Alligator mississippiensis: one gene and its partners. The protein of the gene in region 4 interacts with the protein of the main gene of each other region in a biochemical or structural test. Links are inferred from orthologs where the notes say so. Each region holds a gene or a part of one and is shown on either strand. Other genes may lie near its edges.

Region 1 (7,335 bases), about 86 Mb from region 4:
CTGCTTTTGTAATGTCTCGCTTTCCTCCACAGGATTCTAGATGTCATTCCTTTCACTTACCCATCATAAAACCCAGAAAGTGCTTCCATATCCTGCAATGGAATGGAATTACTTACTGCTTACAATACATATCAGCAATATATTGTGTCTGGGACTGTTCTCTGCTCCTAAGGAATGTGAACAGGTCATAATCACTGTTTCCAAGAAAAACACCAACTTTCTATCTATCGATCAAGTTCTTCTTTATCTATTATAATGAGATCTGAAATAGAGCTATTCCATGGGGAGGAAAGGGGAATATCTTTTATATTAGAAAGTTATCACCTACACTTTTTTAAACCTCTATACATTTTACTACTAGCTGTATGAGACTTCCATTTTATCTCTCCAGTGATAAAGCAATTTTTTGTTCCACACATTACAGATAGATGCTTAATTCCTTGTTAATATGTATTTTTAATAAAGTGAGATTTAATGGATTTCATACTTTATTCATGTTCAAATTGTCAGAGTGTGGTTAATCTTTAAGAATAGTCTAATTTACCAGGAAGGCTCTAGTCAGTCACGGATTGCTTTTTCTTGCATTGTCTTTGGAGATAATTGAACAGATAAACACTCCATTGGCTAATGGTACTGTTATCATGTTGCATCACTGAAGTTCGGGCTCATTGCCAAAGCGCCGTAGTGTCGTAGTGTCGCTGGGCATGAACCTTGATGGCAACACTACTGTGCAATAGTAACAAGCTACTGCGCAGAAGCATCTAAAAATAACTGCGCGGATACAGGACTGTGCAGTAACACTGGTACTAAATGACTGCAAAGTAACAATTGTGGAGTCGGCGGTTCGTGTAGATGCAGCCTCTGTGTAGCTTCAGACAGAAGGTGACTATTACAGTGCCTTGCCACCTGTGTATTTTGAGCAGACAGCTACTTTAGGAATGGCTGCAGACACACAACATGTACCCCGGAGTATTTAACCTCAATGTAGTTTTACCCATTATTTTTCCCTGAGTAATTCTACACCGAACTGAAGTGAGCTACACCAGCTCAGGTTTGTGCATCATAAGTTTACTTCTTAAAATGACAGAAATACACTGTGTGTCCGAGCCTCCCTCTCCTGTAAATCCACTGAGTTGTAATTTCCATGTGAGGCACACCTGCACTCCATGAGAGGATTGGCAGGAACAATAAAACTTTTTTTCTTATTCCTGCATTCGTCCATCCCCTAAAACTTCCTCTAACTTCATTATATATTTTGAGTACAATGAATGAAGGATTACATCCTGCATCCAGCAACAAAGACACTGACATTCTCTGTGTTCTTCTCATAAATAATATTACTTTTATTTGCCACATGCATTTCTAAAGTCTTTTGTATCAGTGTTGGATAAAACTATGCCAAATATACTTTTTCCCTTTTTGTTTCTTATTAAAGAGCAGGTTGCATTTTTTTATGCAAAGATACTGAACTACAGAAAATACTTATCCAAATTCATGATGATATTGACAAACTCAAAATATGTTAAGCAAATTAGGCTCCTTTTAATATGAAAAAAGAACAACAAATGGTACACTGTGCTAGAACCAGGTAGGAAAACAATCAGAAATTCCACTGACATAGGGAGGAAATGGAAGATAACTTCAGATTTCTTTACGATTTCTTACAGATTTCTGTTGCCCTTGTTTATAACCTGTTTCCTGATTTCCTTTGAATAACTAATTTCAAAACTCTGCCCCACCTTCTTTTCACGTAACGAAAGGGCTGTTTTAAAAACTATCTTTCAAAAGAAGGAGTTAAAAAAAATCTTTTATTTATAAAGTAATGTTGCAAATCATTACTAAACTGTATCCTAAGACAATGCTGCATAAATATACTGACCTTTCACCAGTACAGAAGTTATTTTATTTTACAGACCATTAATCAGTGAAACAACAATGTAACTATATCTGATAACCTACAATCTTCCTCCAAACTCATTGAGATTTGGAAACTAGCAAAAAGCAGATATACCAGGATGACTAACAGACTGCAAAATATTTACAGATTTAAAAAAAATAGTAAGAAAGTGTAAGCAAGCATAAACTGGTGAAATATTATTTTTCTTTACTCTTCTTACATGAGGATTCATTCCAGGATTCTTTTGCCCAGCCCATTTTAAAGAGAACTTTAAAAAAATTTAAAAAATTAAGTTCCCATTTTTATTTATTTTTATCGTACTTAGAAAACTAAAGGCTGTTCTTAAAAACAAACAAACAAACAATGCATTTCTTACAGTAGAAAATCATGTCTTGTTTATCTAGGAAGACTCTATGGAGAGGTAGTGAAGCAATGATTTTGAAAATAAAATGAAACCTGAGCTGTTGAGAGTGGAAAGGTCTTTATTCAGATCACTTGTAACAGTATTCTTTGTTAACTTTTGGAAGAACTTTTTATGTACTTTGGAAAAAAAGATATCTTTGTGAAAGATCCAACACTACAGGCATATTTAGTGAAGGTAGGAGAATTATATCCCTGACACACACATAAGCAATCCTCCATTGAAATTAGGGAAAGACCAGACCTGTGATACATGACAGTCAAAAGACAAACAAATAAGCAACAACAGCTTCCTTACATAAAAGCTAACTGAACTTTACTGTCCTCCCTTATATATCAAAAAGATACAAATAAGAAGGTTCGCAAACCCAGTTTTCCAAAATCCTTTACAGGTCACCCATGAGAGGTTTCTCTGGGTTATTATAACAAACCAACTTGTAAAAGTAATTACATGTAGGTATTCTGTTTACAGTATAATCTGCTGTGAGGCAAACAGCTCTGCTAATGCCAATATTTGTTTGATATTTTGGATTCCAGCCTGCTGGATTTTAAAAATCAGTCTTATCCAAAAGTTTTGACCCTTTCATGTATTAAAGGGTCTGTGAACTAGCATGACTAATAGAAAAGGGTTTTTTAAATATCTAAATACAAGTGTCTTCTCAGATGAGTGCCTTCTCAGATGCATCTGCACTCCAGTGCAGCTGCCCCAATGGCTGCATGAGGCAGAAGTGGGAGGAAAGGGAGGGATGTAATTTGTATTTCTTCTGTGCTTCCAGAAGTTAATCTGCTGCATAGCTGTCTGCTTCTGAAACAATGAACCTTTTGACACTAAGGACAAATTTTAAGAAATTGCGGTTCCTCCTACATTAGCAGCATCAAGGTCCCTGGCATAGCTAATCTGTTGCTTGTTGCTTCCATTTTAAGCACACCAGGCACATCTATACGAGACGCTTTACTGCACATTACAATGTCACTGCCTATACGTGCATGGGATTTACTGTGCAGTAAATTAGGCTAATGCACCATTAGCTAATAGCAGGAAATAGAGGTACTAAATTAACAGTGCATTACCTACTGTGCAGTAGCACACCGAGTCTGACCAGGCGCAATTTGCTCCCTGTCAGCCCAGGCTGCCTGGTGAAGCCCTGATGTAGGGGAAGCTGTGCCCACTGCAGGGGAAGCCGTCTCCCTGCCAAGTGGGGATCTGGATGGGTCCTGATCCCCATGTGCCCGGAAGAGGTGTGCTGGCAGCAGGGGCAGCAGTCTTTCCAGCCATGTGGGGATCGGGACCTGTCTGGATCCCTATGTGGCATGGACGCAACTCTTCCAACTGGGCAGAGATCAGGACCTGCTCCCGTACCCCGGGGGGCAGAGGGAGCTGTCCCAGCTCAGGGGCTGCTCCCTCACAGCTGTGGGGAGATCAGTTTGTGCCCTATGTATCTATACAGGCCACACACACACACACACACACACACACACACACACACACACTTTGGTTATGACATATATATATATGCTACATATACATAAAGCACAAGTTTTCATGGGTTGAAGCTTCCTTCACCAGACGCCTTCTCCTCGACTTCAGGCTATCCCAGCTACCTCGGTCTGTCACGCCACCCCGGGCATCAGCACTGTGACTGAGAGAGGCCTGCTCAGAAGCACATCTAACCTAAAGAGGAAATGCGAAGGGGAGCCTTGGGCATCTGAAGTGAGGGTCCTTGTTAGCTCGGGTGCTCTGCTGGGCACGGCTCTCCTGTGCAGAGTGTCACCTGGTACAAGTATCCCCACCTAAATAGCTCAGGGGAAGCGCAGGGAGGAGCAGGGCCTTGGGAAGCACAGGCAATAAGCAGCAGGGTCGGGTCCTGCCCCAGCTCAGGGGAGCGCAGAGAGCAGCAGGGCCCTGCAGGGCTGGGGGCAGGGAGCGGGGCGGCCGGCAGGGCTCGGGTTTCAGGCGGAGGACGCTGCAGGGCCGGGCCAGCCCAGAGTGACCTGGGCGGTGCGGAGGGGCGAGCGGGCAGGCGGCGGCCATGGGCTCCGCGCTGCGCAGCGAGGCGGCGGCCGGCGCCCCCCAGCCCCCGCGGGGCCCGGGCGGAGCTGCCGAGCCGCGGCCGCCGTCGTCCTTCGACTGCTCCATCTGCCTGGAGGTGCTGCACCAGCCCGTGCGGACGCAGTGCGGACACGTGTGAGTGCGGCCGGGCCCCGCCGCGCCGCGGAGCGGGGCAGGGAGGGCGGCAGGGAGGTTGAAGCACGGTGCCTGCGTCGCAGGGCTTTCAGCCTGCTCCCCCGGGAACAGCAGCGTTTCTCCGCCCGTGAAGGGCAGCTCTGCAGGGGCAGAGGATCGCACGGCTCCCTGCCCTGCCCGCTGTGCCACGGAGGAAAAGCAAAGATCCGGGGCTCCTCCTGCCAGCTAACCCCAGCCAGGGACAGGCACTTAAAAGAACCAGGTAACCTTTGAGGCTTAAAAACAAAGGAGCTAGAGCAGCTGGCAGGGCAGGGGTCCCAAGGTGCCCCCTCTCCCTTGCCTGCCCATGTTTCCGTAGTGTTTTCAGATCTTTGGGGGCAAAGGGCTGGAGTGGAGTGAGGAGTGTCCTCTGTATGGACATGGACAGTCCCTCCCCTCTGCTGAGCAAAGGCTGGAAATTTTGGCTCTGCTTGAGTTTGTCAACATGAACTGGGGTGGAAAAAAAACCCCAAAGCTGTATTGCAGAGGTTGCCAAACTTTTTCTTATTGCCTACCCCCTTCCAGATTTACTAGCTGCCCATGTAACCCTAACAGCATAGGTTTTGTGTTTTAATCCTTTAAATGCCAATCATTCTTATCATGACAAATCCGCCATTACACAATTTCTCCAGTGTACCCCCCAGAGATGTGTTGCATACCCCAGGGGCACATGCACCACAGTTTAGGAACCCCTGCTCTATAAAGGAAAATGCACGCAAGGATTATAGAGATAAGCACAAGGCCTTTACGCCAATCCATCCTCTTTCTATAGCCCTCATTAAGGTTCATTTGTTACCTCTGGAGTCATTCTGGCATAGCTATTTCAGATGGACACAGAGTCTGGACACCATTCTTCATGAATAAGAGTGCCTCCATTTGGCTTAGCCTACTGTGCTTGGAAAGTGGATTAAGTAAACAAGTATACTTATGGCACTCTTGCTCCAGAAGGTTTATGTAGCTGAAGGCTCCGGTTTAAATAAATAGACTGTTCAACCAGGAAGCCTACTTAGATGGATGAGAGATGATGAATATCGTTATTCATATGGTTGTCTAGATTGGATACTTGTACCATTTTATTTGGTTTTGTGTAACAAGTGGATATTTGTATTGTAACATTTTATTTGGCTTTGTATAACATTGTGTGTGGTTTTGTGTCATTTCTCCTTACTGTTTTCTGATAGGCTCATTATTTAGTAATCCGCATGTAAATAATGACTTCATCTTCACAGTTTGTAAAGACTATAATACTATTTTTATGCAGGAACACATTTAATGTAGTGCATTTTTTTTAAATATATTCTGTTACTACCAGTTTCACTCTTAAATAAAGACAGCTGGCTAAAATGTTTTTAAAATAGTCATTCCAGAATACAGACAAATAGAATGATGTTTTTAAACCCTCCTCCTCCTAAAAAATGCAGCAAAACCATGAAAAAAAATAAAACCAGAAGAACAACAACAACAACTTTTTTCCACTCCTCCTGGGGGCAGGAGAAAGGGGCAGAACAGGTCTGGAAGGACAGAAGGTGGAAATAGAGGCATAACAGGCCCTGGACTCTAGGTAGTGCAGCTACTTGTGGTGGTGGAGCCAACTGGCAGCTGCAGCAGCTGCTGTTTTTGTATCCCCCCTCTCCCCCCAGTTATGCTACTAGATGGAAATCTAACATAAATTACACAGATTGATCCTTTTAAAGCCATTAACTTCAATAATTATCTCCCAGATCTGATTGACACAAGTCATTTAGATTGCCAGTGAGTAGTTTTAGGGTTTGCTTTCATTGCAATGTTAATCTGAGTCATGCCTCAATTGCTGCCCCTAACTTGAGACCTAAAACTTTATCTCAGGTATGGATCAGGGTTACCTTAATAGCAGCCTAAGGAAAAAAGAATAAACCTGTGGGGAGTACTCACATGAGTCTCTTTACAACTGTGTATTTTATGCAGACAGCCCTGTGTGGCAGCACAAATCAACCTGCAAGATGGTGAAAGCAAGTATTTAGGTAAAAAGAGGTATGGGGGGAGAGGGTGGCATTATAGGCTTGATTGTTTTGGCTCTCCTCGGCTTCCTAAGGATTGGTCAGATCAGTAGCCACCCCCAGAATCTGTATACCATAAAAGGAGGCATATAGCCAGTTTTGCTGCTCCCTTCTCCAAGTGAATGGTGTGTGGCTTCAATGAAGCTCAAAATGCAAAGCTCTACTGTCCTTGTATCTGAGCAGCTTTGTTTGCACTGTTTACTCCAGCAAGCACAGGGAATACATTGCACTGGTGAATTGTGACACGCTTGTTGCAGGACAGGCATGCAAGTAAATCATCCCTTTCTGGTTTCATTCCTTCCATGCCATTCCCATGGTCTTAAAAAATAATGTGTTATATAAAGCTAGGACTTGAAAAAAATTACCAGATATTTCAATCAATTGTCCAGATCATATATTGCTTTTTCTTTTTTGGGGAGGGCATGGGGGAGGGGGCTTTCAACAAAGTTCAGGAACAATATCCTGAGAAGTTTAGCTTTCTTTTTTTTCAGCTCCACACTGGCTGTTCTTAAGTAAACCAGTTCCTTACTTACATTTCTGTTGAACAAATAATGTTGAATGGCAAATTGTTTTAAGGTTAGAACCTCAGATATACACCAGTGTTTGTTATAGCTGAAAACCTATCCAAACTTTTTATAGGGAGTGGTGGGGACAAGATACAGAGCAGTATAGGAATATTATCTAATATACCTTGATATAAAGCCTTTCATCCTTTCCCTTGGTGATGATTTAGCAGGTAGGGCAAACAAAAGGGTCAG
Region 2 (7,887 bases), on a different chromosome or scaffold from region 4:
AATGAAAATTGCTGTGTGTGGCTAGGAAGGATTATAGAGGAAGAAAACGGAATAGGGACCCTATTAAGTCCGGAGGAGGGCCTTCCACTAATGAGAAATTCGGGATGGAGTAAGGGGGCAATCCTCATAAATACCATGAATATAATTCCGGGAGGCATGTATCCCGTAACTTTAGCTGGATTAATTGCCACCGAGGTAAAAAATCATTTGGGAGCTCTAAACTTTCCCCAAAATTTAGAAGGGGGTATGAATAACATCAGGTACATAATATGGGGAATTAGTTTTGCCCATTGGACAGCACCCCCAAACACCCTAACCGCAGTACAGCAGAGATTAAGGAATGATTGTTTGTTTATCAGCACTTCTGAACAAGTAATTTGCTTGTCGTTAGAGGTAGCAGCAAATGTACTGAAAACTCCAGGAGTAAAAGCCTGTCTACTGCCGCTGGTGGGGCAGACACCCTGGGAGGTAGCTGATCAAATAGGAAACATAGTGCAGGAGGAAGAAATCAAGAAAAAGCCCAAATTAACAATATAGAACACCATGTGCACGCTCCTTACCATCCACAATCTAATGGGGTTGTGGAGAGACACACTGGTATTTTGAAGACACAATTGAAAACAAATTTAAAATCAATTTCCTTTAAAAACTGGGATGCAGTATTGCATGTAACCTTAATTCAGTGCAATAATGATAAAGCCATGTGGTTGAAACACGAAAAGAAAGAATTTCCAGTGTGGACATATAAGTATAAGAAAGATGATAAAGTGTGCATACACTTACCCAAAGAAGAAAAAGTAACAAAAGGTGGAATTGATCAATTGGGGAAACTTCCCAACATTTATTTTGTTTAACTGAGGAAAATCAAACACTAACCTCATGAAGCTAGGTCTCATGAGGACCTAAGCAATCATTTAATTTTGTTACAGGTGTCAAGGATTGAAGTGGCAACAGTGGGAGATCAAGAATGAAAATGATCCCAGAGATGAAAACTGGATGTGGCTAACCAATGCAACATTATGCAGACCAGTACCTAGACCACCCAACGTGATTCTGGGATATAATGCTGACGTATGGAATCTCACAATATATCGTTTAACTTGGAAACTGGACAATTAGTGATGTTGTAAAAGGACTATGGAGAACACATTACTTACCTGAAATTACTCAACGCCAGCAAGATCCTCAATCCACCATCTGCTTCGGTGTTAGAAGGACTAGCCATGGTTGGAAATGCAGTGGGGAATAGTGTTAAATCTACTATACATGAAATAGGATCGATAGGACAACAACTATGGGACACCATAAAGACTGTATTTTCGGGAAAATGGGTGATATATGTTATAATAAGCATCATAGGATTGTTTGGGTTAATCATTTTAGGAAAATTAATGTTGTGTATGTTGTCATGGAATTACCGTAATAAGTTTGCAAGGCTTAGTAATGAAATATAATTGTAATCAAACTGCCTAATGGGCACAGGGGCATGTCATATTGAATGAAATAGTTTGAATGTTTGTAATGGTTGCCCATTAGCCAGTTTCAGGAAGAAGACAAGATTTATCTTCTTATCTAGGCCATTGTTTTGGTCTACGTGCAGAAGGTCCTGACTTTGCTCAAAGTCTTAACTTTTGAATTTTAGCTTTAGAGGCCTTTAACAAAGAGAACCTAAAAATGACCCTTAAGCAAATATCCCGAATTCCGAGAGATCAAACCCTAGGGCCTTTGAAAAAAATTGGAAAGAAAAGGTCACTTGCAGTGGTATGGAAGTTCCCCAAAGTAATTAAAATGATCAACAAAAGAAACTAATTACTAAGCAAAAGAATCTGTTGAGAAAGATCCGAGCCCAAATTTGGGAGTAGTGACAGGTTTGGGTCAGAGGGGCCTAGGACGGCAACTCACTCAATAAAAACTGTAACCTACTCTTCCAGTTTGGAGGTGACTTCACTTGCAGAACAACGAAGGAAGAATCGCAAGTGTAGACCAGATCAGACTGATCACCTGAACCACCCTCTCTGTGAACACGAATCTCTTAGTTCACGCTGAAGCTGCAGAGCACCCAAAAGGGACTGAAGGAAGGGGACTTAGTCCTATCAGTATTGAGGCCAGCCCATTGAATCGTATTGCTGAGGCGAGCCCATTGAACCGTACTACTGAGGCCAACCCATTAAATTGTACTACTGAGGAATGAAACCATATTTAGGTGTTTGGCTTCTCGGAATTCTAGGATTGTAAGTATATTATGAAAAATAATAGTATTGATTCAAATTTAACTTTTAGTTGTAATTGTAGTTGTTTTTGTAATCTAATTCTTATAGCATTGTTTAGGAAGGAAGTGCATTCGGAGCATTGTTTCCGATATATGTAATTATTGTGTTCTTAATGTTTGTGGTATTTCTTAAAGCTAAGCAGTGTTATATGCGTAGCAAAGAATTTAAAAATAAAATTGTGTTGTATGAATTAAGTGTGTAATCATTGTGAAATCGTGCAATCAACTAGATACTCCCCCAGCCAGTGCATCAAACGAATCAGTAAGTTGTGTGGGATCTTCTCTATTCCATAACCCACTAGAGACACAAGACTTAGGCACTGTTGCCAAGATGAAGTTTCCAAAGCATCGCCAAGAGATTAGATTCCAGTTGTCCTGGAAATGATTTTGATGGGATAGTAAGAGAAATTATACATTTGAGTTATACATTTGAGTTGCAGTTTCTCTTGCTAAACACTCAAATGTCTGGACTTTCCATCTTGGAGGAAGTTAAGACCGTTTTGGTACGCACACCCTGGTAAAACAGGTACTTTACAAACACATGATTGGACTTGACCACAGCCTGGAAAGAAAACACTTTACTTTCAGGCAGACTCAGCCCCACACACAGTATTAGTCACCATTTGCATTTGCAGATAGCAGCTGCTGTGTGTTCTTGAGTTTTCTATCAGGAAGCAAAACGGGAAGTGGGTGAACACCGACCTGAATGGCATGAACCTGCCTTACTGAAGCAGGCAGATGTGGCCAAGCCCAGAGCCCAATCTGGTCAGCCTCCACCTCCCAAAGTTATACCGTGCCTTTGGTTTAGAAACCAGACCGGCAGCTCAGGAGATCAGACCCTCAAAAGACGTTCTATGGTTACAATCAAGTCGGGCACATTGCAAACCTAGCTTCCTAGTGGTGAGACTCCATGACTTCTGCAAGCTGGACACGAAGCACGTGCAAAAAAAGAAAGACAGCTTCCCTCTGGGTGTGGAGGAGGTTTCTATTTTTATTGTGATCGAGTCAAGTTTGTTCATCCCTCCCATAAAGAGCTCTTAAGAATGTCTAAGCGATAACCTTCCCCCCTGAGTCAGTGTGAGCCACTCCCAGAGCGATGCTAGAGCACAGCTTGCGGGGAGGGGGGCAGAAATCTGAAGGGGCCTGTAAAGATCTTGCCCACTTGTGTTAGTAAAGCTATCATGCCACTTTTTTCTGCACATGTAGATGTTCTTCTGCTTGGTCAAATTCAAACTAGCAATACAGGAGTCACACAAGCGCACCACAATCTCACTTAACAAAAGCAAGGTTTGAGCTTTCGTGGCTTTGTAAACAAGCTGATTTTTTTTTTTTTTAAAAGGTCTCATGATCTTTAAGCCAAGTGTATCAGGGGAATCTGACTCATGCTCTCTAAATGCATGGGGCTGGCAAGAATACGGATAAGGCTTTTCATTCCCAGCCCTAGGCTGCTGTATACCATGCCCCTTTTCACACTTTTGCCACTCATCCCTACCTCTTGCCCGTGTTACCAGGTTTGGTCAGCAACCTTTCAAACCTTCTTTGAGATCCTTGTAAGATTTGGGAAGTGCAACAATGTCTGACTATTGTCAAAACGCTGGTGCGCAGAAAATGTCATGTTCAAATGGAACGGGGGGAAGTGGTATGCGCTTGGCTATGAGCCATTTGCTCTGACTGTGCTGCTGGTCTAAATTAAGGCCATTTCTCCCCCTGTTTGAAACAGGCTGGCATGATAAAAGAAGCATTGAAATTCTAGCTAAAGCAGAGCTTTTCACTTGCTCCTCCACCTAAGGCAGCAGACGAGGGTTTGGCTCTTTTGAAGAACAAGCAACATTTTCCTGGCCTGAACAGGGCCCCAGGCCTCCTGCTACCAGATTCCCGAAGGCAGCGATTCCCAAACTCTGACAGATTGCGCACCACTGATTAAATTGACACGACCTGAAGTACCACCAGCACATTTCTGTCCTATAAAGTAATTAAAATAAGCCTGTTAACGCGTACCCCTGACAGGTCATCTGTGTACCACTGGTGGTACCCGTACCGCAGACTGGGCGCTGCTGCCGTAATGCTCGACCTTTGGCTTTGGAGGGCTGGGTGGCCAGCTGAGGCGCGTGGCCCTGATCCAGCACCTAGAGCGGGCACAGCAGGGCCCTATCCGGCTGCACAGAGGGAGCCAAGGGGCAACCTGGCCTGCAGAGGAAGGGGCACGGCCGGACTCCCACCCAGCCGCGCAGGGAGAAGGGGTCGCTGTGCTGGGAGACGGCGCGTGCTCCCCACCACGTTGGCAACCCTGTCCGGGGGGCACCTCAAAGACCCCCGGGGCTAGGTTGGCCAGCCCGTGCAGAGGGTGAAGACCCGGGAGGCTGCGGGGCGGCTCGTCCCGGCGCCAGAAGCCCCGCCCGGCCCGGCCGCACCTCGGGAAGGTGAAGGATACATTGTATGCACAGCTACATACAATGTATGCACATGTGTATATACAATGTATGCAAAGATTCACATACATTGTATAAGATATATAAAACAAAGAGCAAAAAGTTTTGCATCGTCCCACAGCGCGGATTGAAGAGCCCCGCCCGGCCCGGGCTGCAGAGAGCCCGGCCCGGCCCCGCTGCACGTGATTGCCGGGAAGTGCCTACCTCTGCCTCTGCCTCCTAGTTTCACTTTCCGAGCCCGAGCCGCAGAGCCATGGCCATGCTGGCGGGGCTGGAGGACGAGCTGACCTGCTCCATCTGCCTCTGCCTCTTCGAGAGCCCCGTCACCACCCCGTGCGGCCACAACTTCTGCGCCGCCTGCCTGGACATCACCTGGGCCGGCCTGCGGGACGCGTTCAGCTGCCCGCAGTGCCGCAGCCCCTTCGCCTCCAAGCCCGAGCTGCGCAAGAACACGGTGCTGTGCCGGGTGGTGGAGCAGCTGCAGGTGGGCACCAATGCCCCCGAGGGTGGCGAGCCCGAGGGCAAGAAGGGCTGGGAGCCGGAGGGCAAGAAGGGCGGCGAGCTGGGCCCCTCGCAGGTGGCTTGCGACAGCTGCCCGGAGGCGGTAGCCGCAGTGCAGACCTGCCTCACCTGCATGGCCTCCTTCTGCGCCGAGCACCTGCGCCCGCACCACGACAGCCTGGCCTTCCGCGTGCACGAGCTGAGGGCCCCGGTGCACGACCTGCAGCAGAGGCTGTGCCGGGACCACCACAAGCTGCTGGACTTCTACTGCCCCGAGCACCAGAGCTGCATCTGCTGCATCTGCCTGGTGGGCCACAAGGCCTGTTCGGCCAGCTCCCTGCCCGAGGCCAAAGCGCAGAAGGAGGTGAGCGGGTGCATGGCGGTGTGTGTGCATATTGGGGATGAGGACCCCGGGGAGCAGTCAGCAGCCCACCAATTCCAGGAGGATCCCTCCCTCCGCTTGTGGATGGGGCTCGAGGGAACTTAAAGAGCGCAGGCCTCGAGCCCCCCATCTGGCTGCAGAAGTTGCAGGTCTTTCCTCTCAGCTGGGGGAAGAGCAGGCTGCAAGATGGGAATCCTCTCCTTCTTCCCTGCTTTGTAGACAGGACACTTCACCTGGGAGCAGGCTGCTGCTTGGTTGAGGCTGCTGTGCCCTCGGGAAGAGGTGTTGGCAGCCAGCAGTCATCCATTTTGGGGCTGGGCTTGCTGAGCCGTTACTTGATATCCACCCTTTCCCCTGTATCCCTTGTGCCCTTCCCAAGATCGTAAAATTGCCCTAGGAAGCAGGGAGGAGCCTCTGGAGACTGGGGCTAGGGGCAGCTTGGGAAGCATAGGCTCCCCAGGGGCCACAGGAAGGGTGGGCAGGGTTAGCTATGCCACACCGCAGTGGCTGCACTGTCTCTGCTGCCCTTTGGAAGTGCTTTTTCCACCCAGGGCAGGAGCGTAGAAGCAGTCTTGGATGCTCAGAGTGCTGCCTGCCCGGTCACAAGCCCTGCTTTGCCCAGGTGCGTGCGCTAAGCGGGGACACAAATAGATCTGCAGCTGTCATGGCTGTTGGCTCTGAGCTCCGCCACATCTGGCTCCCCAGGCACGGTGTCTCAGCTGGGGACAGCGCTTGAACGCACACGTCCAGGACCATCGCGAGATGGCGGAACCGCTCTGCCCTGGCCCTTGCCCTCTAGCAGCAAGCTCAGTTCTCAAAAGGTGCTGAGCCCCCAATGGTCCCTGCTGAATCAGAAGCATTTGGGACCACAGAAATCAGGCTGTGTATCTGAATCTAGAGGTGCATTGATGTTCAAAGATGCTGTGGGAAGAAGCAGAGATCAGAAAGACGTCTCAACCCACATAATTAGGAGAGAACAAGTTGGGGCTGGAGGCGAGGGTGCGAGGGGAAGAATGGGTGGAAATTGCAGCAGTTGGGGGCATGAACAGCTGGTGCATCCGGTGCTGGGTATTGCCCTGTTAGAGGAGGGCCCTGCCCTATGACTCCTTCGCATGCTCTTGGCTACGTCCCCGGCGTGCTTTAACCCCACAAGCCCACACAGGTCCTGGCTTGGGTGGTACCACTCAAGGACTTCAATCTGACGCGCAGCTTTAGGCATCCCAGTCTGACAGCTAACGGCTTCCATTTGTATTTTGGTAATCACTGGAGACTAGCAGTTGAATCCTGTGCTTTGTTAGTAAAGTGGCAACTCTTGTGACTCACTGAATCTCAGCAAGGCCTGCGGGAAGGGTGGGCAGGAGCATGAACCTGCAGGAGACAACACAAGTTTGTCCCCCAAGCACTAGCCCAGCTTGTAGCCAGCTCCTTCCCAGTGGCAGGCCTCTGGGTCTGCCTATACAGAAGAGAGCTTTTGCCAAAGTTTTCCTTAAGACGTTAAGACGTGGGGAGTTCAGGAGCTGCCTGGTAAGGCTGTGCAAAATTTCACCGGCAGTTTCTTTTCGACCTCGAAATGGAGAGCTTCGAAACAGCTTCAAAATGAAATGAGGCAAGTCAAAACATTTTGAGTGTGGAAGCTCAAGCTGGGCTTGCCTGCAAGGAAACAGAAACTAAAGTAAGGAGAGGGAGGGGGAAGCGGAGGAAAGGAGTGCTCTCATTATTGACTGTGCAACTGGCCAGGACTTTGATCCTTTCCTGAGATCCCTTCCAATCCCAGTGCTCTGGGGGAGGGATGGGAAAAAAAAAAAAACAGCATAAAAAAAGGCAGCGTTGTTTGAAGTGCCCTGCTTTCTGCATTGGTGTCAGTTGAGTGAGGGCACACCTTAACACGTACCCCCCTCCTGCCCATGTCACAAGTTTTGCCTTTCAGCAGCCAGAAGTGCAGGGCTCCTGGGTTCTGGGGCCCTGCACCTATCTCCTGGACAGCTGGCAGGCTTCGTGGCCGCAGCAGGGGCCAAAATCCCTGCAGCTGTCACCCCGCTGTGCCTTAGCGCACACAGTGTTACCCACGTCACGAGTTCTGCTTGTCCACAGCTTGAGGTGCAGTTCCCCTGCACCTAGATCCTTGAAACTTGGCAGGCTTCATGGCCCCAGAAGGGGCTACCATTCCTGCAAGTTTCATCCAAATCAAGCCAGAAATGACAAAAATTATAGGCTGTTTTGAGCTCCCCCATTACAGCCTATGGGTGGGACATCGAAACAGCAAAACTGTTTTGATGAAACGAAATGAAACAGAACAGCAGTTTCGA
Region 3 (7,612 bases), on a different chromosome or scaffold from region 4:
AGACTGCTAGTAAGGTTTGCGTGCGCAGGTAGTGCTATGTGGGAAGTGGTGCTGTTGCACGCAGGTTGAGTGGTGAGCCAATGTGTGGTTGGACAAATGCAACTTGTGTATGTTAGCAGTTGTTTAATGGAAGCAGTAATAGTGAGTATGGCTCATAATCCTCATTTTAGAAATATATCATGGCTTTTCTAGCTCAAAATTGAAAATCAGTAGCATAATTTCATTTTTGCTTTTTTATTAAGCATTTTCCTTCTATAATTTCTCTAATCCCTTGTTCCACAGCTTGCTTAACAGTCAGTTATGATCTTGCTTTACAAGCACCAAGACTCTTCCTCATCTCTCTCCACTGACCTAGTTGCAACCAATCTCTTGGCACCTGGGCAAGAAGCCACAAACCCTTTTATACTTGTGTTTATGAGAGCACACAGATATTTACCTGAAGAAGCATCACAGTGAGCGCCATACAGAGAGGAATGTTACAATATGTTACTTATACAATGAGACAGACACTCTCTGGATTCTCCCAAACTAATCTGACAGCGTCCAGGCTATTTCTGGGTTTCGACTGCAGCCTCCCTCCCTCTCTCCACTTTTGTTGCTATTGCAGAGCTTGTCTTCACAGCACATTATTATTATAATAGTTCATGTTGACCGAGTGTGGGTAAAATTAACTTCTCATCGTTCACTTTAACCAGAAAACAGTTTCAGTTTAGCCCCAAATGGTAGATTATTTTTTGCAATGATCAAGTCATTGCAGAATGGAGGAACATCCTGTACTTAGTGCACAAAGAGTAGATCAAACTCAGGAGCTAAATACATCCACATTATCTGTTTAAAATTTGACCTGTAGAAACAAAAACATCTGTTTGTTTTTGCTTTAGACCTCCCTTTAATACACAGATAAAACAGATCACAAAAACTGTTGATGATTTGCTCTGATAAGTTAGAAGAGAAAGCTGAGTTTTTAAATGAGATGGTAGCCAATGTCTTTTTTGTTCTTCTAGCTTGTACCCAAAATTACGAGGAGTTATTTCAAAGAAGGTTACATGGAGAAAACTGGACCAACGGTAAATTCCACCTGAATGTCATGGCTGATCACCATTGAAAAGCTTAGCACTAGCCAAACATAACTTTTTTTCCAGAAGCAGAATGTTTACTAATGCTGTCATGATTATGATTAAACAGTTTGCTGGGAGCTGTAGTTAAGTGCATTCCAGTTAACCTGGATAGACTGAGTCTCAGTTTGTAATGAGCACTGGGGGTTTTTTTTTTCCACTTTTGCATGAGATGTAACTTTGAGGGCTCGTTGCAAACTGCAGGTGTGATGGAATAATTGGAAGTATTTCTGGAGTTGCAAAGTTACTAGTATTAGCATTGAATGTGGGTGGCTGTCATGTGCCCGTCTGTTGATTGCAACTCCATCATCACAAGATGCCCACTAGAGCAGAAACTTCCAGGCAGATTCCTCTCTTCCAGTGCACATTCTTGTTGTCTCTGCATATTCTCTGACTCTGCCTACACACCCAGCCTCCAGCCTGTGTCAGTACTGCTAAAAGGATCATCAGTGAAATACTTCATGCTGGTAGTGAATATGTCATTATTAAACTTCATCTCTCTCAAACCTTTTTGCAGTGCCTCATCCTGCAGCTTTACTATAGCAGGTCACATGTGAATTCTTACCAGCCAAAAAGGCAAGACTTTTCTTGACTGAATGCTTACAGCAGGGAGAAATGGTGCTGAACCCTTAGTGGGGCTGTATAGTTTAGTGTCAGCTCTGGCTTCCAACAGAAGGTTTGTACATTGGTAAAGAATTCATGGTGTCACTATTGTTAACCTTGAGAAGGAAGAGAGCTGAGGCTCTAGGTGTGTTGGTGAGTCATGGAACTGCATGAGAAGCTGAGAGTGAACCAGAGCATAGAGTTAGGAGGAGGTGGCCAAGGAACTGCCACGAGTGAGTGGAGCCCTGCTCCTGGGAGCTGGATCATTAAAGAGCTTATTCTTTATCTAGCACAAGGAGGTCTTCAAGAAGCGCTGGTTTAGCTTGGATTCACAGGAGAGGAATCTGATCTACTTTAAAGACCCATTGGTAAGGAGGACTCCTTATTTCATGACCAGAGCTGCTTGAAAGGGGCTCTTCATATCATACTGATCCCACCATGCATGTGATCACAACAGCTCTAAAATAATTGTGCAGATTTTCAGGAGAGTTGTGCACCTCAGGAGCTGAGGTGTTTGGAAAAGCTGGCCTGGGAGGGAGGGTGCTGACTGTTCTGGCTCTTTTGAGGAGTTTGTATTAAGTGACTGAACTTGTATCTCAGGTACTAGGGCGTATGGAGTCAGCCACCTCAGGTCACAGGGCAGATCCTTGCCCTCATTCTTTGTGCTTGGGCAAGAAGTTAGTAAGTTGGTGACAAAGACCAGAGAACTCAGCTCTCCTAGTCCTCTGTGTTGGGAATGCTTTGAGTCCCATCATACCTGGAGCCATGGTAGTGTTCCCTCCAAATTAAACCTACTTCTGCTGCCATCAAATGACAGTCTGATGTCAGCTTTGAGCAGCTGTGGATACCTGCGACTATCCTGCTTTCTCCCTCTAAGGATGCCTTTGAAACGGGCCGAGTGATTATTGGAAGCAAAGAGCATGGGTACGAAGTCCGGGCCAGCTTGCCCAGAGGAGTCAAAGGAAGGAGGTGGAAAGCTGGACTCACCATAGTCACACCAAAAAGGGAGTTTGTATTTGCATGCGAGAATGACAGGGAGCAGAAGGAGTGGATGGAGGCTTTGAATGAAATAATTTCCCAGCCCATGACTGCCTAAGGTGAGTGATGAGTTCCAGGAAACAGGCCTTCTTGGTTCACTGTTACATGGTGACCTTTTCTCCAGGTAGCTGATACAAAGGTCATATCAGTGAACACCGTGGGTACAGAGGCTTCTTTCCTCTAAAGATGCAGATACAGAGTTGACAGGAGAGGGCATGACCCAGGCAGACTGGTGTCCTTGCAGAGCTTGTGGGGGTCACTGCAGCAGGGGCTCAGTTCAAGGTAGCTATAGCTCAAACTGGAGACTACACCAGCCCCGTCCTTCACTCCTGGACAGAAGTACACGCAGCCTCTGCCTGTTGCTGATCTAGCCCCTGTGCCAATACAGGGATGAATTGGCCCTAGTTGCTTTATGAAAATGGAAGTATGTGAGCTTAAAGTCATGACCAGCCAAGAGATTTACAGAGATGGAATTACAGTTGTCCTCAGCATACCCTCCGTAACTCTCCCAACTGCACAGGAAATATTCCATGGAGCCTTCATCTTGAATGAGGCTTATTGCCACAGCTGAGAGCAGGAGAATGAATGCAAGAAGGGTCTGAGCGAAAGGGGGATGCACACGTCCAACTTGTCAGGGTTCAGAGGGTTAAAGTAATGTACAGTACTCTGAATTTGCAGAGCAAATCCAGACTATAGGTCCAAAGTGCAATTCCTGCCCTGTCCTGGGTTCAGCTTTCTGTCCAGCCCAGCTCTGCTTAACAGGAGACCTGGGGCAGGGAAGTAGGATAGAGGGTCGTGGCTCCCCATTTCTGGAGCTGGCTCTAACTTGCACCCTTAGCCTCAGCAGACCAATTCAGCTGTCAGGTGAGCTGGGGCAGAGAGTCCTTTGGCTATGTCCTCTTCCATAGCCTTTCCTTCTTTGGGCTTTGAGGTGCAGCCCTGGCTCTGCTGCCTGAGGCTGTCGCAGGCCAAGTGGGGGTGTATTTAGATGGTCTGTTCAGCTGGATTTGTAGCCAAGAGTTTACTTCTTGATGTCACATGGAGTAAGTCATAAAAAGCTCTGGGAAGCATTAATTTTCTTTGTCTCATTCACTTTGCATCAGAAGCCAATTTCAGGCAGCGCTGACAGCCAGTCAAGTTGCATTTGATATATCAGTTGAGAGGAAAGATAAACTACGATAAACTGAAAGATGCTGGTTTTTGCTGTTGTCTTCTCTCAGATGTAAGAAGGATTCCAGTTTCAGGACATATTCGTTCCTTGGACTCTCTACTGAGACTGTTTAGCTCACAAGAGCAATGGTGATTGTAGGTATGACCTCCTGCACTCCAAGAACCAGCCTGAGACAACCGACCTTACTTCCTGTGGGGCATCAGCAGCTGTTACATTATATTACAGCCTTTCAGCCACTTCTTACATGGACTGCATGAAGCCAGTAACCAAGAGATGATGGGTTGTGTATTCTGGGGTCAGGATCCACTGGGTGCCATTTTCAGGAGTGCCTAGCACTGGCCTCATTGAACTTTGCTCTCGTTGAAGTCAGTGCAGCTTTTACCATTGACTTCAGGAGGAAAATGAGGCATGAGCTGAACACCTGGACTTATTAAGAGGTGCTGAGTAGCTGCAACTCCTCTTGGCTTCACTGGATTTCTCACCTTCTCTCAGGACATGAACTTTTTATTACAAACCAGTCTCAGGTCCTTTGCTGTTTGTATTTCTGATAACATAAATCCCAAGTTCTGTAAAAATAAAAGATAGTTTTACCTTACTCAGACTGCTATAATGTCACATTAAGACTCTCCAAGAATCTCAGTTATCATCTGCATTTTGCAGCTTGAGAATCTGACATACAGAGGAGTCGCCAGTTTGTTTCCAAAGCAACCACTGATTCTGGGGGCCTGAGGTGAGACATCTGGAGCTTGTTATTCAGAAGTGCTGAGCTCTCCTGACTCTGGGAAGTTCAGCTGGAAGAACAGGTTCTAGATTCTCTTACCAATTCTGTCTGAGGTGGGCACAGAGTCAGATGCCACTTTTGACGTTTTAGCCAAAATACTGGGTGCAAGGGCACTCCGTGGCAGAGTCAACCCGAGCAGGGTGCAGGGCCTGGGGCAAGCCCATGCAGGGCCCCACCCCTGCTCCAATCCCATGCGCCCCAGACCTGAAGAGGCTACCGCTGCCATCTGTGGCGGGGGGGAGCGAAGCCGCCAGAAGCAGTGCGGAGTCACCACGGCAGCTCCACCCAGCTCCAGGGGGCTCCCCAAAGCGTGGGGCCTGGGGCGGCTACCCCGATTCACCTCCCCCTAGGGATGGCCCTGCTCAGTGGGTCAATGCCAGTGCTGGGAGCCCACAGTGCCACAGCCCGGTGTGACTGCTAATGGGAGCAGAAACATTGCTGTTCTGATTTTACACCTATTCTGTGCAGTGCTGAATGAATACAGGGAACCAGCTGAATGAACTGCCTCCTCTCCTATCACAACTAGTGCTGGGACATGTCAAGAAGTTCAGAGGTTTGGTTTAACCAAGCAGCCTAACATCCGTTGCTTTTCTTATCTGAACTGCTTACATCTGCAAATCAGGCTAGTTGGGAGACGGCCCAAGCTTCCTGATCTATGACAATCAGGCTGAAACGCTCAGAATAGTTCCCTCTCTTCTAGCTGGAATGAGGAAGTGGCCGTGTGTGTGGGGATAGGGGAACTATTTCTACTGAATGTTTTTTACATTGGAAAAAAAAAGATTTGGCTTAGATTCTCATTGTACTGCTCCCAGCTTGCTCATCCACACCCAGCCACAAGCAATCTGCATCTTTTCTTCTCTTTGTCCCCCCTCATAAACTGGCCTTTGGAACTACTTGTCCAGGAGCCTGATGAATTATGCTGGTGTCAGTTCTCCTACCTTTGAAAAATCATTGGAAGGAAGGAGAAAGCAGCCTCATCTTGCATCTGCTGAAATTGACAGCGAAGCTCCCGCTGACTTGAATGGTGTGTGGTGGCTGGTTTTGTTTCGGTGTTGATTCACATGTTTATTTTTAACCGTTGAGATTTTATCTGAGTTTATTCAAAGAGCACTGCAAAATCAAAGACTACATCAGTTCTCTAGGACTGCAAGGAATCTGTAGAGCATCATGCATAACGCAGGTGACAACATTTTGCCCAGTAAAAGCTTATCTCTACACTATCAGCCCTGATAACTGCTGGGGTGCAGAAGATCTGCTGTGTCACCAGCTCTCCAGGGAGTTGTTACAAACTGGATAACTCTCTCTGAGAACTGTATGAATGCAAACACAGCAAAACTTGTTGAGTTTCTATTACAGTTTTGTGGGGTCTGGAAAAGCTTTGCCTGCCTGGGATCATTTCCACATTTGAAGCAGAGAGAGGTCTGAACCAAGTTCTTGGATCAGAGTTCCCCAGAACTGGGGAGGTTTGAGTGGAATACTGAACTTGGTGGCTCAGATCTCCCTTGTTCAAGTGATGGTTTGGGCTTCCATTGTGACAGGTCCTGGTTACAGGCAGGTTCCTGTTCTATGCCATTTCAACGGATCACACTCTGACATGTGTTCATTAGCACAGGTTGAGTTTTTGTTTTTATTTTTTTGCAATCAGGATTCATGGTAGAGGTGTTATCTTTTATTAGACCAACTAGATTTTCTGCAAAAAGAAATTTCTTTAATTGCAAGCATTCGAGTGCAAACACCCTTCATCAGGCATTGCAGAAAAGACTGCAAAAGTTCTCCTGGGTAGAAATTAAAGCTCATATTTCATAGGAGAGCTGAAGGTGGTAAAATCTCCTGTTTGGAAAAGTTCATTTTATATGCAGATTAGGCTCAGAGAAAAGTTGGAATAGCCTGTTTACCTCACAGTTTTGTTGGTAAGCAGGATGAATTCATATTTCCTTCTGGTTATGGTGTTTCATATTTAACAGAGGAGTCAGTAGATGGGATGCTTCTCTGGGCAGGAATTTCTTATCAGGTGAGGCCTCTGAGCGTTGATGTGAGGTTCTGTGAAGATAATTACCTCAAACAAAGGCAGGAGTGGTATCTCTGGGCTTATGTACACACCATGATTTTTGCCCTTTCATGGGCTGCAACTATGTGTCTGTTTGCATGAGCAGGATTTCCCCATGCTTTAAAAGTCTATCTTGTGCATTAAACTAAAACTCCTCAGTTGTAGTTTAGTTTGGCTCTCTGGGAATTAAAGCATCATTCATGTCCATGGATTTGTTGGGTGCAAACACAAAGGCACCTAAAGATGTGCAAAGGAGCCTCTTTGTCCACCAAATGGCACTGCATATTTTTTTTTGTAGTTCACCCCTTCAAATTGCTTTTACTTTCGAATTGCTTCCACTTTTTTTTTCTTGTGTGGCTTTTTCTTTTTTTTCTTGTTTGCTAGCTCCCTGCTTCCACAGCTGTGTTGCAGGGCACAGGCACAGGGTGGGTTGGGGGAAGCAGTGCTGAACTGGGACCCAGCTTAATTCGTTTGAAAACTTAAGTGTGTGTTAACACAGGTGTGATGCTCCAAAATAAACAAGTTTAAATTTTATAAACATTTAATTTAATGAGGATTAAAAAACCCATGGTGTGTACAGGGGCCCTCTGGTTTCAGGTGGTCAAAGGTGCTTCCTCCTAGTAAAATTATGAAGATTTCATTTTTTAAAATTGTGTTAAAAAAAACATTTTAAAAATGTTATTATTTTTTGAGTTTTTTTGCTTGTTCCTATTAACATATTGTGTCCTTTTCAGTATATCTGAAACTCTGAGTTACTATTTAAAATTTTGTCTACAACAAAGAAAAGAGAGAACTCTCCATGCTGTTGATTGAGCGGCAGATCCTGTCTTCCATAGAAGACATAGGGGTTCCGCTCT
Region 4 (7,819 bases):
AGGAATCCCCCACCCTTCTCAGGGCTGCAGCAGCAGAGACCCAGGCAAGGATCTTCTACCCAGCCCTTTAAGGAAAAGGGTACAGCTGTAAATTGAATTCATAGTCCCTCCAATTAGAATAGCTTCTTGGATATCAGCTGACTCGGAGACAAAGAAAAAAAAATAGAACAGACTGAGCCTGTAAGGGTGGGAGGAAGAGAAGAAAGGAAACCGAAACTTGAAGCCTGTGCAAAAGAGGTGTGGCCAATGCAACTGCCAGGGTAGCAGCCAGTGTGTGACGCTAGCAGATGCAGCAAAGTAGGAAACGGGTGAGCTAAATATTCACTTTCCCAAAGTTACTTAAAGAAAAAGAAGAAGGGTGCATGTGCCTGAAAGCTTGCAAATAAAGAATATTTTTTGCAACTCTCTGGTTGGGCTAATAAAAGATATCACCTCCCCAGGAGTTCTGATTTAAAAAAAAAAGTCACACCAACCATGCCATACCTAGGTATGCAAGCAAATCCACAGCCAGCTGACTCAAAGGCAGTCAAATAACTTTGATTTGATACAACAAGTTCCCCCTCTCCTTCCTTCCACCTCTGTCCCTAGAAAGATTTGAAATAATCAGCTGCAAGATCCTAAATCTTAAGATTCAAAAATCCCTTCCAAAGAAACAAGTGTAAGTGCCGAGAGCTGGTGTTTACACAGATTTCTGAGTTAGGACAGCTTGGCAAATTAAATCCTCTCAAGAACATAAATAAAACAACAGGAAATTAGAAGGTGCTGGTTATAGCCATGTCACTCTAAAGACATAGACAAACACTGCTCTTTTGGTAAATGTGGATCTTTTATTAGACCAACTGAATAGTACAACGCAGGCACAGCTCACTCTGGGCAGAAGGCTCTGGGAGCGGGGACTATGCCCTCCTGCTGCTCGCCCAGCCGGGGCAGGACAGTGCCACTGCAGTGCTTCAGACAAGTGACGCACAGCATCAGAAGCCGCTTCAGCCTAACCACACCTCCTGGACAAGCCATGGCCTTGCCCTGCTGTGCCCCGGTTGGGCGAACAGCCGATCATGAGGGCAGGTGCACGCACCCAGGTCAGGAAGGGGCTGGTGGCAGGCTATGGGGAGTTTTAGGGTGGCTGGAGCTCCCCCATAGCTGCCGCTTCACTGCGCTCTGCAGGGCCGGCCTGGGAGCACATGCCCGATCCCATGCCCTCCTGGACTGGTGGCCTGAGCCCCCCCTCCCTGAGTCCCGCGCCTCCCCATCACAGCTGGGCAGCTTGTCCCAGCCCCAATCCCTCCCTCACTGCGGGGGCATTGATCTGCCCCACCCTTCCCTCCCCCCTCAACAAACTTACCAGCTGGAGTCAGCTGTGTCCAGCGTGGTCAAGGACTGCTGCCTGTTCAGTCTACAGCCAAATCTTCAAACTGGTGCCTAATCTCTCTGAATCGATTCGGAGGCTTCCAGTTCAATTTGGAGCTTTTAATGGGTCTCCAGATTTGATTCTGATTTGGAGCTTCAGCCACCAAATCGGGCCGATGTCCTCTGAATTGAATTGGCTACCGAAGCTTCGCACAACCCTGATGCTAAACACATGAAGCATACCTATAGTGAGGAAATGGAACTAATAATTTCTCCTGCTGCATTATACAAGGTTTTATGAGAAGATCTTATACTTCTATACACCTAAGTTTTTTTTATCATAATTGGAAAAGTGAAGCTTTTCTACTTTTTCAACTCCTAGTTACAGTTGCAGAAGTTTCAGCTGCACTTCTTTAAATAAATTCTGTCATTGAACTGAAACATTAGCTTCAGTGAATATGAAGAAGACGTTCTCTTTGCACTTGAAGGCAAAAGATGATTTAGCACTTCAAAGGTGTTAGCCAGTGACTTTCAAGTTCTACTGTTTACCATCTTTAAAAGATGAGCAGTAAATATCTGATTAATATTTTCAAATTAAAAACATAATTGCAGTCAACAAAGACCTCAATCCCCCTTGTCAGGTTCCAGATTAAAACACTGTACACAGGCATGACTAATATGCAAGAGATGGTCTAGTAAAACAGTTTCTAAAAAGGAAAGCACCTTGCTAGTCTCTTTTTAAATAGGCAGAAATCAACAGGAGCTGAAACAGAGCAAAATTTCAAGCCTGTCTTCACTTGCATTATGTCCAATCCCATACAAAAAATGCACACATTAACAGTACATTGTTTCTCATTATGAAAACAGTTAACTCAATGGTTATTAACTTTTATAGACTCTAGGCACCCCTCAGAAAATGTCAGCACTTGGTTTTCACCCATTTTTGACTACAGAAAAATAATAGAGCAATTCTCCTGTTACAAAGAACTCAGAAAGATGGCATCACGTCACAATGTTTTTAACACCATGGATTTCCTGTTTGAAATCTCTGGGTTTATCTTGTGAAGTACGTTTGCACTTAATGCTAAAATTGTGTGCTACCCTCAAAAGGATCTCAAGTCACTCTGGATGAGAATCACTGGGTTAACCAGTTCCATATGAGGGCTAAGGCAGAAATGTCACTGAAAGAATCATCAACAATAGACAATTATACTTTTTCAGGACTCTGCTATCGGAAATTATTAGGGAGCTTGAAACTACACTGAAAATATAAGCATTCAAGGTTAACAAAGAAGATACTATTTTTATACGGTATATGCTAGATTTAGATATAGCACTATATGCAACAGTAGTACTGAATTGTTAAAGAGAATAATTAAACATGTTCTGCAAGTTATAACCTAGACTGAATTTCTGAGGGATCCTGAAAATATACCTGCATTAATTCTGAACACAAACAGCTCAACTATGCTAGAAGTTACCAGGATAGTCCTTCAAATGGTGTTGTAAGCCTATGGCAACTTTAATAAAGATTTGGACAGTTAAGTATGTTGCTTCAAAAAAATAAAAAAGAAATTAAAAAAAAAAGGGGGGAGGGGAGGAAGTACAAAATGCATACAAGATGTGGAAGCCAATAGACTGACGTCCCTGAATATAAACACACCTGGAAGCCAAATGGTCAGAGGCTGCATGCTTTCCACCCCCACCCACCCCGCCCTTATACCAGCTCAAGCCAAGAGCCCCTTGGGCCACACACTGCATGGGCACTCCTCACCTCCTCCTTCACAGCTGCATCATGCAGGCAGGAACCCCAGTTTCACCCTCAGGTCCCTGGCCCTGCAAGCTGCACTGTTCCACACTGCCCCGTTCCCTGGGACAGAGGCAGGAAGTGGAAGCTGGAGGAGGGACAGGGAGCCCTGAGACTCTCTGGGTGCTGTGATAGTGGGAGCGACTGTGGCATAGGGGGCCACAATTTAACCCCTAATGAGCGGCCAGCTGGACAGCCCTGACTTAAAGCAACAGAATCAGCTAAGCATTTAAAATGATGAGTGTTTGTAAAAGCATGTTCATTTTTAGACACAGAAATAAGGTTTTAGTCTGGACTGTTCCTTTACAGATTGGATTTTTGTAATGCGTTTATTTTAAAAGATCAGAGAGAACTTCACTTCATTTGCTCTTTCACAACCAGAGATATAGACTTTAATAGGGTAACCATGCTCCTGCGTATTCCATATATAGTTAGCATACACTAGGATATAATAAAACTGAAAACTTAAAAGATAGCATTGAAATAATTTAAACATTTTCCTCTTGCATGTGCCTCAACAGTTCCCACACCAGATTATCATTAGTCTGGAATAGGTTTCAACCCCTCAGGCATTTCTATCTGCTCCTCACCCATCCTAGTCTGAATCCATAGAAATCACTGCCACTACAAATATCTTTCTCCTATCTTCCTTCCTTCTCTAACTGAATCACATTCCAGCCATTTAATCCCATATACAAACACCTAATCCCTCACTTGCATGACTGCATTTATTCCTCGTTGTCCCCTTCTCCATTTTATGTACTATCCTTATGTTGCCAACCATGCCTTCCCCTCCTTTTGTAGATTTTTTTTTAGCAATAATTATCCCTTTTTAAAATCGGTTACCTCTCAACATCCTTCCTTTGTCTTGCCCTATGATCATAAACTCTATTGTCTGCAGCAAGTTACATTGTAATTCACAGGTCTAGATGTTATACTCTAGATTTATTTATAAAATTGTGCAAAGGCACCTCTGTTAGGCACTAGGAACCTACTGCATGAATTAAAATATATGATAATATATTTTATGAAGTATTGTGCATGCATGAATATCCAGCCACGGAATGATTAATGAGACCTTCTGGGAGCTCTGACAACACAAAAGGCAATAGCCTAATGGTTCAGTAATAATGGCAACTGAGCCATCTTCATTGATATTTTAGTGTATATAATGCATCCAGAAGGCCATGGAAATAAGGACAGGTTAGCAAACTGCTTACAAGGCCACAGTTAAAAACAACTGAAAACCAAATAATAAAGATATTGACAAATGAAATTGAATTATTCTTGCTGGAAATCTAAAAGTTTGCTGTGACTTTTACAAAAAGAGAGAGAGAGAAAATTACAGAAGGAACATGAAGAACTTTGTAAGACGACCCTATATTTACTGTTTCAACGTTTCTTAAAATGTTACGCCAGTAATTCTTAGCCAGGGAACTGCAGCATACTGGGATACCTTGAAACCCTTTCAAGGGTGTCACCAAGTGCCACGCAATGTTAGCAGTCTTAGGTGTGCAACCTTGATTCACAAGATAAACCCAGAGATTTTAAATAGAATTCAAAACACTAAAAACATTCTGACCTGTTGTGGTCAGAGTTCTTTGGAACAGAATTGCTCTATTATTTTTCTTTAGTAAAATTTTGAGTGAAAACTAAGAGCTGGCATTTTCCAAGAGGATGCCTCAAATCTATGAGTCATTACATTAAATAACCATTTTACAAATGAAAAGTCTGTACCTGCTATCACAGGAACCCAACATTACTAGAACTGGGGGGTGAGGGGCAACTATTTTGTTCACTTGCTAGCATCTTAGCTACTGTCAATTCATCCTTCACTTTTGTGTCATCCTTCACACAATTCCAGAGGACCTACATAATCAACAGGAAAAATGGGGCAAAAAAATTAAACAACTCTGGATCAGATGAATTTAATGATAAAGTTCTTGTCTTTCAATGAAACATTAAGCACATTTATGCCTTTCAGTGCTTGATGTGCCAGAAAAGCCAGAAGCCTTTTATTTATTTATTTTTAACCACTCAGGACATGGTGCAGAGAAAAACTGAGTAACTGTTAAGTCAAGTAGCAACCAACTACATACCCACACTATATTTTGGTTATTTTGGAAAGGCAATGGCTACAGTTAAATGTAATAATCCTGAAGCTTTTGACAGTGTAGGTAGAAACAAAGGAACAAAACCAAAAAGACGTGAAAGGCTCCGATTCTTCCATTCAGTTACATTAGAAAACAAGAAACGTTTGATGTGTGGCCTCTACCTTGCCAACTTACTTTTAATGAAAACATTTGTGTCTCAGATATACTATTTTCCACCTACACTGAGACAACACAGCAGTCTGAAGATAAGAGACACATGATCTTAGCCCACAAGAGGCAGGCATGCGGAAGATCATTACACTGGATTTAAAATCTGTTATCTTATTGCTTTATTGGGACGCCAACAGAATTCATGTTTACTATAATGGTAGTCTGGTTCAAGGTTTGTACAGAAATTGCTGGCACTTTTTTGGCAGAAGTCAAGCTGAAACAATGCAGATCAAAGAGGATAGCAGAACCAAACCTGAATTTATTTTGTGAATTATACAATTTCTCTTTTATAAAATAAAAAGAACAAACCAGCAGAAAATGTATGTTCTGGCTTTAGGGTTGTTTTTTTTTAAAAGACACAATATTGAAAGATTTTGTGGCTATATCTTACATAATATGAGAATACAGTATGGCTTTAGGAAATTACACCTCCTAAAATTTACAAGTTTATTTTGAAAAACTTTTAAGTTACTAACAATATTCTACTTTCTTGTACTTAAAAGTGCATACATTCAAGGATCTCACACATGTCCCAGATATGTTCTAAACAGTCTTATCGCACAGAAATCACAACCAGGGTTTTGTTTCCAGGGAAAAATATGTCTAAGCAAATTAATAATTTTAAGAATGATTTTAAGAAGAGCTCAGTGAAAAAAGCTACATCTTTTTTTCTGCAGTGTCAAGCCAGTATGATCTGTCAATAAGTTTCTTTGGCAGTCTTAATATTAATGGTGGCCTCCCCGAGTTATCTACAAATGATGTCCTGGGAGAAGGCAAATGGCTGGATGCTTCCATCTGTGCAGTTTCAACATTGATAGGCAGAGTTTCAATTCCCAATGTACTACTACTACTACTACTGCTACTACTACAACTACTGCTGCTGCTAACAGCCACAGCAGGAGTCTGCTCATCTGATATTTTTTGGAGCCGGAGATCTACATTTCCAATGTCATCAGCCAGGTCTTTCCTACTGTTAGTAATACGATCCTTGTTCGATATTGCAGTTTCACCAGTTACTGCATATACATCCTTATGATTGCTTGTGTCCAGGAGAGATGATGGAGATTCGTTTTCTCGCTCGTTTAACTGAGTTATGGTTGTCCAAGAAACACTACTGTCACATTCCACAGTTTCACATATTCCAATCTCTTTATCACTATCACTGTCAACTGTAATCACGACTGGAGAAGGAGGTGCTGAATTACCTGTATGGTGTCTTCTGTGTTTTTTGTGCTTTTTCTTTTTCTTTTTATGATGCCTAGTTGTGTCAGTAGCCTTTCCTTCATATACAATCTCCACACTCGGGCTTCTGATTTTTTTCTTTCTCTTTCTATGCTTCGTTTCATTGCTTGCTTGGTTTTCTTGAGGGCTGTTCTCATTTTGGTAGCAACCACTGTACTTTGACATAGGTTTCTGGTGGCCATTTCCTTCTCCTTTAGAAGGGCTTGGTGCCTTCTCCTTGTGCACACTCTCCAAGTGGCGCGTCTTGTATTTCCTTTTTCCACCAGGCTTTTCACACCGCATTCTATCAGCCCCTCCAGATGTGGTCCTAGATCTATTACTAGATCGACTCCTTGACCTGCGTCTTTCATAGCAGTAATACTGGCTTTCATTGTGTCCTCTTTGATTTCGTGTATTTGTCCTTTCCGAAAAAGACTGTATTCTATATTCTGGACTTGCTGACTGCCTTGAATAATGAGCTCTGGCCTGAGCCCTTCTTCTATATGAGGACTCATAGCCATCTCTGTCCATGCGTCTACTGTAGAAAGTGTATCCCCACTGATACCTATTTTGGTAATTTTCTCTTATATAATAGTGATCACTCTCTCTACTCCTGGATCTTCTTTTACTATGGCCATTACTGCGGGATCGTGACCTGCTAACACCTCTAGATATAGTGCTCTCGCTACTTAGAGAGAGAGTCAGGCTTTTTCTGGATAAACTTGTGTCTCGAGTTCTTGATCTCCTTCTGTTTCTTTTACTTCTATGCCCGCTACTATCCCTGCTTCTTGGTAATCGGTTTTTTAAGCTTTCCTTGCTACGATGTTTCCTTTTGGATCTATGGCTGTGACGGTCTCTGCTATGAGAGTGCTGGGAAGACGACTCGGAACTCCTTGACCTCCTCTTTCTGGATAATCTATGGTTACATGGAGAGCACACACTGTTTTTCCTGGTAGAGGAACCCTGCAAAGAGTCCCAAGTAGATGCATCTCTTATTTTATCTTCCTCACTCTTTTCCGCTTCTGCTGTCTTAATCAAGGGTGACATGCTGCCTTTACAGATACTTTTATTATCTTTAGATACTGGGGAGTGCAGTAATGAGCACCCACTAGCTTCACTG

Evidence for each region. The genes of interacting proteins can lie anywhere in the genome.
Region 1: of the proteins of RIGI (region 4) and RNF125, one has a biochemical effect on the other in vitro, tested with the Homo sapiens proteins (3 studies listed by BioGRID and IntAct, with this or other methods). The link is inferred for Alligator mississippiensis from reciprocal best matches to the Homo sapiens genes RIGI and RNF125.
Region 2: of the proteins of RIGI (region 4) and TRIM25, one has a biochemical effect on the other in vitro, tested with the Homo sapiens proteins (5 studies listed by BioGRID, with this or other methods). The link is inferred for Alligator mississippiensis from reciprocal best matches to the Homo sapiens genes RIGI and TRIM25.
Region 3: of the proteins of RIGI (region 4) and RNF135, one has a biochemical effect on the other in vitro, tested with the Homo sapiens proteins (6 studies listed by BioGRID, with this or other methods). The link is inferred for Alligator mississippiensis from reciprocal best matches to the Homo sapiens genes RIGI and RNF135.

Annotation. Positions count from the first base shown.
Region 1 is NC_081826.1:81,059,003-81,066,337, reverse strand, and holds the start of RNF125 (E3 ubiquitin-protein ligase RNF125), read left to right. Parts: upstream 1-4,332; 5' UTR 4,333-4,347; coding exon 4,348-4,502; intron 4,503-7,335. UniProt on the Homo sapiens protein: E3 ubiquitin-protein ligase that mediates ubiquitination and subsequent proteasomal degradation of target proteins, such as RIGI, MAVS/IPS1, IFIH1/MDA5, JAK1 and p53/TP53.
Region 2 is NC_081831.1:7,643,646-7,651,532, forward strand, and holds the start of TRIM25 (E3 ubiquitin/ISG15 ligase TRIM25), read left to right. Parts: upstream 1-4,884; 5' UTR 4,885-4,951; coding exon 4,952-5,563; intron 5,564-7,887.
Region 3 is NC_081831.1:6,997,476-7,005,087, reverse strand, and holds the start of RNF135 (E3 ubiquitin-protein ligase RNF135), read left to right. Parts: upstream 1-4,609; 5' UTR 4,610-7,612. Other genes in the region: ADAP2 (arf-GAP with dual PH domain-containing protein 2), read left to right, coding at 1,005-1,067, 2,009-2,086, 2,596-2,814.
Region 4 is NC_081826.1:167,106,809-167,114,627, reverse strand, and holds the start of RIGI (antiviral innate immune response receptor RIG-I), read right to left. Parts: upstream 3,004-7,819; 5' UTR 1,343-3,003; intron 585-1,342; 5' UTR 484-584; intron 179-483; exon of another isoform or gene 1-178. Other genes in the region: E3 ubiquitin-protein ligase Topors, read right to left, coding at 6,136-7,819.